Linked DNA regions of Saccharomyces cerevisiae S288C. The protein of the gene in region 2 interacts with the protein of the main gene of each other region in a biochemical or structural test. Each region holds a gene or a part of one and is shown on either strand. Other genes may lie near its edges.

Region 1 (6,450 bases), on a different chromosome or scaffold from region 2:
TTTTGCCTCCACCCCCACCTTTACCAACTCAACAAGCTTCCACTTCAGAACCTATTATCGCTCACGTTGATAACTACAATGGTGCTGAAAAAGGCACGGGCGCATATGGATCCGATTCTGATGATGACGTTTTATCGATTCCTGAATCAGTTGGTACAGATGAAGAGGAAGAAGGGGCACAACCAGTTTCTACTGCAGGTATCCCATCAATTCCACCTGCAGGTATTCCTCCACCCCCACCCCTTCCATGAAGATTTAATTTGCTTTCTATAGATACGTATGTATACTAATTTCTGAAAGGATGTAGAATTACAAATATGATATTGATTATTTTTTTCTAGGCTATATGAATATAAGATATGCGATGAAAGAAAAAATTATTTAATTTGGTTGGTCCTTTTTAGCCAAAATGAGTTTCTCAGCATTGTTCTTCGAAACTATATCTCGATCCAATTCTTCCTTTACAGCTTCATAGTATTTTTGTAAACTCCTTTTTGGCCTATAAAAAGTATGATCAATTTTGAGGGCTCTACCGCCAATTTTAAATCCATTTAAATTATCGACTGCTAGAATCGTTGACCGTTGATCCTCATATTTCAAATATGCAAAACCTTGCGATTCTCCTGTGTTTTCATCCCTGCTAAGAATTACATCTACAGGGACTCCATATTCAGAAAAGACTGTCAATATGTCACCTTCTGTTAATTCTCGGTTGAGATTTCCGATATATATATAAGCATTATCCTTATATTCATTATGCCATGATTGATGCGGGCTAAGAATTCCACTTTGTAGTTCTTTATCGTTGATTTGCTGAATTTTGTTCATTGTTATTTTGTTTATATTATCTATGTTCTTGATCTAGAATTGCACGCTGCACTTTTTGAGTTGTATGAGTAATTAATGTTCGGCCTATTTTTTTTTATCTGTATTAATCTCAAAAAATTCCTAAACCCAGAAAGGTAAAAGAGCTTATCATTTAAGTGTGGCATAATTCTCCAGCCATAACCACTTCCTTATCACATAAATTATCATTGTCACTGAGTTCAATCACTTCTTTATTGTTCTATTGTCTTTCTTTCAAGAATAGAATTATCAGTATTAGTGTGATCTTATATACATTATATTATATTGAATACAGATAATAAAAAAAAGTGAATTTTTGAATTTTTAATATACAAGAGATGATTGCTAACTTCATGTATGTCTCTTCTTTTTTGTAGCTTCTGCTACAAGTTCTTCAAAGATCTGTGCCTCTTCTTGTTCGACTTTGGTTCTGAAAGTTTTCTTAAAGACTTCACCCAATAGTTTCATTGCTTCAGCTCTTCTGATAAGCGTTTTCTTACTTACCGAGTCATCTTCTAGTACTTTTTTACAAACGCCACGTAAAGTGGATGTTATTTCATATTTAGAACCATGCCAAGCAGCCGACAATACTTTGCCCATCAATAGCTGCTCTTGCTGCGCCAGTTCCTCAGTGGTTGGCTTAATTTGCTCATTTCCGTCTTTGTCAAACAAAGGCTCATTATTCGTGCTAGCTTCTTTCATTTTTTCAAGCTCCTTCATAGTATTCTGAGCGTCTATGGCTGCCGAAACAGTTCTTAGTGTATCCATAAATACTCCCCCTTTAGCCTTCATAGAATGAAATATACCACCCATTCCGAACAGGTTCTGGGATGCAAGAAAAATTTCAGCTTTTTCGTAGTAAACGTCGCCTATTGTGTGTAATATGTCCAGACCAAATGATTCCATCTTTAAAAGATTGGCTTCCTCTTCGAACTTTTTTTTAAAGGAATCTTTACATGCATCATCATAGACACTTTCTGTTAATATCGATAATCTTTCAATCAATGTTTTGCTTAATTGGTCTACTCTTTTTTGCTTTTCTACCTCTTGTTCTTCCTCAAACTGCTCTAATTTTGTCTTCTTCTTCTTAGCTTCTGCTCCTACCTGCTCATTTTTCTTGTTTCCATCGTGTACAGTTAAATTACCAGAAGTTGTCCTCGCCTTATTTTTGTCATCTTTTTCGTTAGTATTGCCCAATGCTGCATCAACAGCGTTAGTGGTGCCATTCGTCTTACCGTCTGCAGGTGATTCTTCCATTGTTTCCACATTCTCCTTCTCCTTTTCAGCTTCGTCTTCAGCATTTAGCTCCTCAGTTTTCTGTAGGTTCTTTAATAGCATCAGTTCGCCAATATATGAGGCAAACGCATCTCCACCAAAGATGACAGAGAACTGTTCAGCTGCATCTTCAAAGCCGCCCTGAGGAATAGCTTCTTTTCTTCCATACTTATCATACTTTGCGCGAAGATCATCGTCACCTAAAACTTGATAAGCTTCGGATATTGCTTGAAACCTTTCGGTAGCCGTGGGGTCATTGGGATTCTTATCAGGATGCTCTTGAATAGATTTCTTTCTATAGGCCTTTTTTATTTCAATGGAAGATGCAGTGGTAGACACACCTAACAAATCGTAATACTCAGTATCAACAACCATATCTTTTGTATAATGCCCCTTCTGGCCGCAAGAAACACTTAATGATTTAGCATAACTCTGTTATTCCTCTTGTAAATCTGCCAATTTGTTCAGTACGCTCTGCTTCAAAATAGCACAAAATTCAGGGTGTGCGGGTAAAAAAAAAAAAAGTCGAAGAAATATATATATATATATATAGAATAAAATCTAGTTTTTATGCCATTATTATTAATAACACCTCTAGTTTGCTCGTCATTCACATATTTCTCTCTTGATACATACTATAGAGTTTATTCATACATATTATTTATAAGATTCTAAAGGGAGTGAAAAGACGCTTCTTCTGAATGTAAGGCAGAATCAACGTCTTCGTAGCCACCTGAGAGTTCTCTTTCCATATCAACCTCCATTTGGTCCTCCATCTGCTGTTCCTGTATTTCTGTCGTATCGTTTTGATCTCTGTTGGCGATGGCCTCCGATGGGGACAGAGATTCCTCACTTATGGCTTTTCTATTACCTACGGCGTTCGTCTGTGGCAACTGAGAAAGAGGATCCGACTCAGCATTAGCAGGTAACTTTTCCTTTTCGTCCAGCTCAAAAGGACAAAGAGCAGCCTCCATCTTATTTGGAGATTGTTCTCGTTGTTCCTCGGGAATGCTCTTTGACTTTTCATCCAAGGCCCTTTCTGCTTGCTCACCAGGAGTAGTATCTATTAAGACTTTTTCCTTAGAGAAGGAAGAGGAAACATTCCAATTGTTAAATATTTCTATTTTATTAGTGTTGTCATCTTCTTCAATCTTCTCTACGCTAGCTACTTTAGAAGGTAATTTACGCCCACGAGGTCCTCTACCTCTTCTAGTTCCGCCCAGAGGTCCCGTTTTTGCCTGTGATTGGTCCTGGGGTCCTAGCTTAGATTCAGTATCCGGGGAGGACAACTTCTTCTCCAAGGAAGGTGGAAGCTGTCCAGGGTTCACCATACCAGGTAGCGCAAACAGTCCATTCAATTTGCTCGTAAAATCTGCCTTCGTGGTATCGCTAGTAATAGAAGAATCTGTGTGTTTTTTAGCAATATCTGCTGAAGCGGTAGTAGCTGAAGAATTACCATTATTATGCAGATCTTGTTGCTGTTGTTTTTGTAACATTTCTTGAAAGGCCGCAATTCTTGAAGAAGGTTTTTTGGGAACCGGAGGTGGGGCACGTCTCTTTGGTCTTTCAGAGGGAATTTTTGGGATTTTACTTTCCTCTTCGGTACTAATTAGGGTCGAATCACACTCTTCTGATACTCGCTTCTCTTGTGTGTTAGGCAACTCCTCTTTTTGTACGTGTGCTTCAAAATCCTTCTTAGGCCTACTCCTTGGAATCACTGGAACGTCATTTTCCTCTTCACTTGCAATTTGTGAAGGAACGTTTGAGCTAGTTGCTGCTATAACTGTTTCAGTATCAGAAGGTCCTTGCGGCTGAGAATTCACTTCCATGTTGTCCTTGCCTTCTTGTTTCTCATTCAAAGAGGTAGTACTTTCTTCATCGGTTGGATTTTGGAAAATTTTTTCTTCCTGTTGTTCTTGATGCTTCTGTAGCTCTTCTAAACTAGATTCAGGATGTTTAGTGAACTTTTCAGCTTTGTCGTCTGATTCTGTGATTCCAGATGGAGGCAGAGCATTGAGGCTGCCTTCTTCTACGTCCTTACTAACATCTACCTGTACTTTCATATCTCCAGGAATGAGCTTTTCTTCAAAATGGCTTCTATCCCCTGCCTCATTATCTAGGGCAGCATGTACCTTTTGCTTTTCAGTAAGGTCTTCGGAGTCACTATGCTCTGTCACTTCATTATTAGACTTGTTAACTAAATTAGAAGGTGAAATAGCAGACTCATTGCCCTCAGCACCCTCGTGCTCATTTTTTTCGAGTGGGGAGGGATTTGTAGAAGTTTTGTTATCTGATGCACTTCTTTGCCCGTTTTGATGAATGGCGGCCACCTTTCCCTCTTCCACAGAAGTTGGACTTTTTTTCCTGGAAACATTGTGTATATTGTGCTTTGAAATCAAACTTTCAATCTCCTCTAACTCCTTACTGGTGTTATTCATTACATTATTTAGTTCTTCAGTAGTGGAGCGTCTAACTGGCCTCTGCAATGGTACCTTGGGCAAACTCTCTTGATCCATACCACTCTCAAACGAAGTCATCGTCTTTGCTTTAAGTATGGGTCTACGTGTTGGTACATTGGGCGTTCCTGCTGGTGTTGGTGGCTCGCTATTAGCTTTAATATCTCCTGATTCAGAGCCGGATAACGGAAACAGCTCAGATGTCTTCCTCCTTGAGGGCCTCTCAGGTACTTTTGGCGTAACTTCCGATGGCATTGTATAATCGGTCAAAATAGATTTCCTGTTAGATCACCAACAAAACATGATACTTTCTAAATCAGAAAGCTTAAATTAAAATATACTCAATATTTCTCCTTTTCTTTTGCTTCGCGCCTGGTAAAACAAGATTGCTTTCATTGTGCATGTGGTAGAAAAGACAAGTTAAAAAAGGAGAATGTACTAACACAAAATTCAAACTCCAAAGGGGATAATTGCACTCAATTTGCAAGGTTGTTCCATATGAGACAGGAGTCTTCTTCTCCATCGACCTTCCTAGCTTACTGTGCTCACAGAAAGACATAAACCGGGTAACGGCTTTTACGGGGTTACGTGTGTATATAACCGGGCATCACGAAGAGATCAATAGAGGTGCCCTATGCTCTATCACGGAGCTAAGATATTGTGATTCAAGATATAGTAGCTCACTTCAGTTTTATTCAACACATTCCGGTTCTGTTTTATTTTAGTGTCCTTTTTTCTCTCTGATGGCTAGTGCAGATGATTACTTTAGTGATTTCGAAGATGACGAGCTGGATAAACTGTATGAAAAGGCTATCAATAAATCTGTGAAGGAAACTATAACGAGACGTGCTGTACCAGTTCAAAAAGACCTTCATGATAACGTTTTACCTGGGCAGAAAACTGTGTACGAAGAAATTCAAAGAGATGTCAGTTTTGGACCCACTCATCATGAGCTTGATTACGATGCTTTGTCGTTCTACGTGTACCCTACAAATTACGAGGTAAGGGATTATCAGTATACAATTGTTCACAAATCACTGTTTCAAAATACGTTATGCGCCATCCCAACGGGTATGGGTAAAACGTTCATTGCCAGTACAGTAATGTTAAATTATTTTCGTTGGACCAAAAAAGCCAAAATAATCTTTACTGCTCCAACAAGACCTTTGGTAGCCCAGCAAATTAAGGCATGCTTAGGTATAACAGGAATACCTTCGGATCAAACTGCTATATTACTCGATAAAAGCAGGAAAAATAGAGAAGAAATTTGGGCCAATAAGAGAGTTTTCTTTGCCACACCGCAAGTAGTGGAGAATGACTTGAAGAGGGGTGTATTGGATCCTAAGGATATTGTATGTCTTGTCATCGATGAAGCTCACAGAGCTACTGGCTCCTCTGCGTATACAAATGTGGTAAAATTCATAGATAGGTTCAATTCATCATACAGATTATTAGCATTGACCGCTACACCAGCCTCTGACCTGGAAGGTGTCCAAGAAGTGGTTAATAACTTAGATATTTCCAAGATTGAAATTAGGACTGAAGAAAGCATGGATATCGTGAAATATATGAAGAAAAGAAAAAAGGAAAAAATTGAAGTGCCCCTTTTGTTGGAAATTGAAGACATAATCGAACAATTAGGTATGGCCGTCAAACCAGTGCTTCAACAGGCAATTGAACTCGGTATATATGAGGAATGTGACCCTTCACAAATAAACGCCTTCAAAGCCATGCAACAAAGCCAAAAAATTATTGCTAACCCTACTATACCTGAAGGAATTAAGTGGAGGAACTTCTTTATTTTACAGTTATTGAACAATGTGGGTCAAATGCTAAAGAGATTAAAAATTTATGGAATAAGGACATTTTTCAA
Region 2 (5,441 bases):
ACGTTCAAGAGTCTAAGGTAGAAGTTCCTGAAGTACCTGCCCCAACTAAGAATGAAGAAAAAGCTGCCCCCATCGTTGATGATGAGGAAACCGAGTTCGACATTTACAACTCTAAGGTTATAGCATGTGCTATTGATAACCCAGAAGCTTGTGAAATGTGTTCGGGTTAATGAGGGCTAAGTTTTTATTTCTTCAATTCTATTTATCAAAATTTGGGTGTTTACTTCGAGGTGTAATTTATATTTTCTTTTGTTTTCTCTGATAAAAAAATTGGTTTCCATTCTAATGCCAAGCTAAAAGGTACCTATATATGTTTACTAATTATTTTTCTACTTTGCATATATACATAAAAAAAGTCGAATAATTTAACATGAACATTTTAAGCTGTCCTTGTAAGAAGGCCATGATACAGATTCCCCCCTGCCCCGAAATGGGGTCTAGGCAACATTGTTCTATAAAGGAACGCAACTTTATGTGGCAACATTAAAGCAAATACATATCTACTTGTGAAGCCAAAGAATTGTAATTAAATAGCACTCATTATTATTTTTGTCTTCTAGTTTATAGTTGAATATACCATCTTTTTTAGATTCCCAGGATGCGCCTATATCGTTCTTCAATGAGAAATTAGCGTTTTCTTCGTTGAGTCCTTCAATGTTCAACGTCGTTACCGAGGCAATATATTTATACAAAGAAGAGTGCTTTTCAAGTTTTTCTAGGACCAGTTTTATAAGAAGGTTGGAAGTTGATTCGGTCGATAAATTGATTTCATTGTCATCTTTTAAACTATCATAACTTTCTTGAATTAACGTAACTAGTTTTCTTTCGGGCAGAGGAGAGTTATCACTCCTTCCATCCTTTATTTCAATCTGCATACTCATTTTTTTGTTGACTTTCGTAATCACTTACTTTCACTTATCCTAAATAATTTACAGTGCGTTTTGTAAAACTGCAAGACGGTATCCGCTAATAGAGAGAAGAATACGTATTTTCTAGTAAAGAAATTTACAAAAAAGGAGGTATATTGGCATCGCTATTTTCGGATAGAATGGCAAGAGCGATTAAGTATAGCAAACTGGGAAATGTATAGAGACAAGAAATAATGAGACTCTCTCTTCAAGTATCTTTGAGCACGTATCAGATAACTAATGGTTATATCGCTTGTTACGGTCGGTGATACTTCACTTTGAAATAGATATTAGCACGTGTCTCGGAGAGAAGAAAATGAATGCTGCATTATACAAAATAGATAACAGTATTTAAGAGTCCATATTTCCATAACCAGCGACTTGCATACACGTAACATACGATTTACTACATTATCGAATACGATTAAACACTACGCCAGATTTCCACAATATGTCTTCAGCACCATTATTACAAAGAACACCTGGGAAAAAGATCGCTTTGCCCACACGAGTTGAGCCAAAAGTGTTCTTTGCCAATGAGCGTACCTTTTTGTCGTGGTTGAACTTTACAGTTATGCTGGGAGGCCTTGGTGTAGGTTTACTGAATTTTGGTGACAAGATAGGTAGGGTCAGTGCAGGACTATTTACTTTTGTTGCCATGGGTACAATGATATACGCGCTTGTAACATACCACTGGAGAGCTGCTGCGATTAGACGTAGAGGATCAGGTCCTTATGATGACAGATTGGGGCCCACTTTGTTGTGCTTTTTCTTATTGGTTGCTGTCATTATCAACTTTATATTAAGATTGAAGTACAATGACGCTAACACTAAGTTATGAAATTGTAATTCCAATATCGTAAGCGTGGGTTACGCACAAACTGTATTTTCAAGATGCTCACAAATAATTTAGTTTCATATATACGCATATATAGAAAGTATCCATCTATAGGTAATCATGAACAATAAAAATATTCACGTTTCAGGAGCTATTGTTTGTACTCATTACGTTTTTGGATATCAAGTTGAAAATCAGCCCCTTTCACTAGATATCAAGCGCTATAAAAAAATTTTAATTTCGATGAGGCATCTTTCTTTTCTCTTGTGGCTATGTAAGCCTAAGAAGCCGTTTACACATCAATGATAAATAAGTATACAAAAAGGGTTCCATTTTTTTTTTTGGCCGCTACCGGACTAGCAAGGGCCTAATGGTACGCTGAGCGTAGTACAACCAAGCGCTTGTTAGCCGTAGAGTTAAGCTCTTGACTACTATTACGGTAAAAGCCGGGAACGTGCGTAACAATTTTTTTTTGCATTAGGTTAAAGAGGCTCGCTCGCGGAGCCTTTAGAATACCGCTTAAGGCGCCAAAAGATGGAAGCTATTCTCTTTCTTTTTTTTTTCACAAACTGAGAGGGGTTGTGTATCGTTAAAAATGTTGGAAGACTTCTGACTCATCACTACGCAGATTGTTAGAGTTTTTCGATGAGAATGGCTTCAAAGAACAGAACAAAACACGATTATATAAGCCCCATGTAAAAAGAACGTCTTAATTTATTTTGAATTTAGGACTTCTTGACATTTTTAGCATATATAACAATACGATAAGTGTCTCATCAAACGTGGTTAAGACAGAAAACTTCTTCACAACATTAACAAAAAGCCAAAGAAGAAGAAATGCTTTCTCGCACAAGAGCTGCAGCTCCGAATTCCAGAATATTCACTAGAAGCTTGTTACGTCTTTATTCTCAAGCACCATTACGCGTTCCAATTACTCTTCCAAATGGTTTCACCTACGAACAGCCAACAGGGTTATTCATCAATGGTGAATTTGTTGCCTCGAAGCAAAAGAAAACGTTTGACGTGATCAATCCATCTAACGAAGAAAAGATAACAACTGTATACAAGGCTATGGAAGATGATGTTGATGAAGCCGTTGCAGCGGCTAAAAAAGCTTTTGAAACGAAGTGGTCTATTGTAGAGCCGGAGGTTCGCGCTAAAGCTTTATTCAATCTCGCTGACTTGGTTGAGAAACACCAAGAAACACTGGCTGCCATTGAGTCAATGGATAATGGTAAGTCATTGTTTTGTGCGCGCGGTGACGTCGCTTTAGTATCTAAATACTTGCGTTCTTGCGGTGGTTGGGCAGATAAAATCTACGGTAACGTTATTGACACAGGTAAAAACCATTTTACCTACTCAATTAAGGAACCATTAGGCGTTTGCGGCCAAATAATCCCTTGGAACTTCCCTTTATTGATGTGGTCATGGAAAATTGGGCCTGCTCTGGCTACAGGTAACACCGTCGTATTGAAACCCGCTGAAACAACACCTTTATCTGCCCTTTTCGCTTCCCAGTTGTGTCAGGAAGCAGGCATACCCGCTGGTGTAGTCAATATCCTTCCGGGTTCCGGTAGAGTTGTTGGAGAAAGATTGAGTGCACACCCAGACGTGAAGAAGATTGCTTTTACAGGCTCTACTGCCACCGGCCGCCATATTATGAAGGTCGCTGCCGATACTGTCAAGAAAGTCACTTTGGAGCTGGGAGGTAAATCACCAAATATTGTGTTTGCTGACGCTGATCTAGATAAAGCCGTCAAGAACATTGCCTTCGGTATTTTTTACAACTCTGGTGAAGTTTGCTGCGCTGGTTCCAGAATATACATTCAAGATACAGTATACGAGGAGGTGTTGCAAAAACTAAAGGATTACACCGAGTCACTAAAGGTCGGTGACCCATTTGATGAGGAAGTTTTCCAAGGTGCTCAAACATCTGACAAACAGCTGCATAAAATTTTAGACTATGTCGATGTAGCAAAATCAGAGGGGGCTCGTCTTGTGACTGGAGGGGCCAGACATGGCAGTAAAGGTTATTTTGTCAAGCCAACAGTGTTTGCTGATGTCAAAGAAGATATGAGAATTGTTAAGGAGGAAGTGTTTGGTCCCATTGTAACTGTATCCAAGTTTTCTACTGTTGATGAAGTGATTGCTATGGCAAATGATTCTCAATATGGGTTAGCCGCAGGTATTCACACTAACGATATTAACAAGGCTGTTGATGTGTCCAAAAGAGTGAAAGCTGGTACTGTTTGGATAAATACCTATAACAACTTCCACCAAAATGTTCCTTTCGGTGGCTTCGGCCAGTCAGGTATTGGCCGTGAAATGGGTGAGGCTGCTTTAAGTAACTACACTCAAACAAAATCTGTCAGAATTGCCATTGACAAGCCAATTCGTTGAAGTAACTCAGGCCCGAGTTGACTGCTCATTGAAGGTATGTATGATAAACATTATAGAATAATGAAAAATGCCTCGTGACATACAGATAAAATCTAACAAGGATATATTCAAAAAAAAAAAAACAAAACAAAAAAATAATAACGTGATAAACATTAATGAACAATGTATTTACATTCTTAAGCATAGGTGAGAAATTACCTTCTTTACTTTTTTTTTTTTTTTTGGTGATATTGTATATTGAAATATATAGTAATCAAATTCGTTTCATTGATCAAATTGCTCACTAGTTCTGTTTTTCAAAATTTCATCTTTATAGGTAGATACAAGTGCCAGAGAGATATATAAACAGAAAACTCTATCGATGTGATAATGTATGCCAATATCGGGACTGTACACCCACACATTTACAAGCCCACACATCCTACAACTTTCTTTTCATTTCTTGCGCTTCTTCCACTGTCATAAAATATGATTGTCCGATGCCGCAGCCTACGCCTCGGCGAGTATTCATCACCTAAGCGTCCTGTAGGCGGGGCCACGCAGTCACTAACGGAATACTCCAGAAGGCTGCTTCCTTTGGAAGGAAGTTTCACTCGGTTGTCCACCCAGCGCTTTAACTTTGTCTCAGCGAAGAAGAATTGAATAACTATAGTGAATTTCAAGAGCTAGAGGATGGTTAGGTATTAGTTCAAAACAAAGATTTCAAGAAACCAACATAGATTAAGCAGAAATGGTATGTTAAAAAGTGCTCAGATGAAAGATGACGTCCCATATTCCATGTTAAAGTTGCCATGAGTTAGTATAAAAGGCAATAAAGGTACCATAACGAGAAAAGAAAGTAAAAGAAGAAATGTTTTGCAAATTTAAGGTGGCGTAACAGCAACTATTGGCTAATATATTAATGGCAATCATTGTGAAAAGAAATGTGAAATCCGTATCGTAATTGGTTAAATTTATAACTCAAATTTAAACACTCGAATAGCTGACCCGTAATATTTTATCCCGCTTTAAGAGTTCAACGCTAAAAAATGATATCTAGCTAACCATTATGCTACAGGAACCTTTTTTGGACTATTATCCCTATCATGAAAACTGGAAGGATCTTTCAAGGACGCCATTTCCAAAGATTTCCCCCACACTGGAACCTATTTTACTAACAATTTTTAAAATGGTTTTTTACCTAAATTGTTTTTTCTCAGTCTGACGCTGTTACTATCCGTACTAGAAAGGTTATCTCCAACCCATTGTTGGCCAGAAAGCAATTCGTCGTCGACGTCTTGCACCCAAACAGAGCT

Evidence for each region. Proteins that work in one complex are often made in the same cells at the same time.
Region 1: the proteins of TDA2 (region 2) and AIM21 form a complex in vitro, tested with the Saccharomyces cerevisiae proteins (3 studies listed by BioGRID).

Annotation. Positions count from the first base shown.
Region 1 is NC_001141.2:359,267-365,716, reverse strand, and holds AIM21 (Aim21p), read right to left. Parts: upstream 4,833-6,450; coding exon 2,793-4,832; downstream 1-2,792. Other genes in the region: actin cytoskeleton-regulatory complex protein PAN1, read left to right, coding at 1-251; U2 snRNP complex subunit IST3, read right to left, coding at 382-828; DJP1 (Djp1p), read right to left, coding at 1,198-2,496; MPH1 (3'-5' DNA helicase), read left to right, coding at 5,321-6,450. UniProt on the Saccharomyces cerevisiae protein: Involved in mitochondrial migration along actin filaments.
Region 2 is NC_001137.3:301,447-306,887, forward strand, and holds TDA2 (Tda2p), read right to left. Parts: upstream 882-5,441; coding exon 501-881; downstream 1-500. Other genes in the region: ribonucleotide-diphosphate reductase subunit RNR1, read left to right, coding at 1-170; VTC1 (Vtc1p), read left to right, coding at 1,360-1,749; aldehyde dehydrogenase (NAD(P)(+)) ALD5, read left to right, coding at 2,584-4,146; 40S ribosomal protein eS24 RPS24A, read left to right, coding at 4,877-4,879, 5,346-5,441.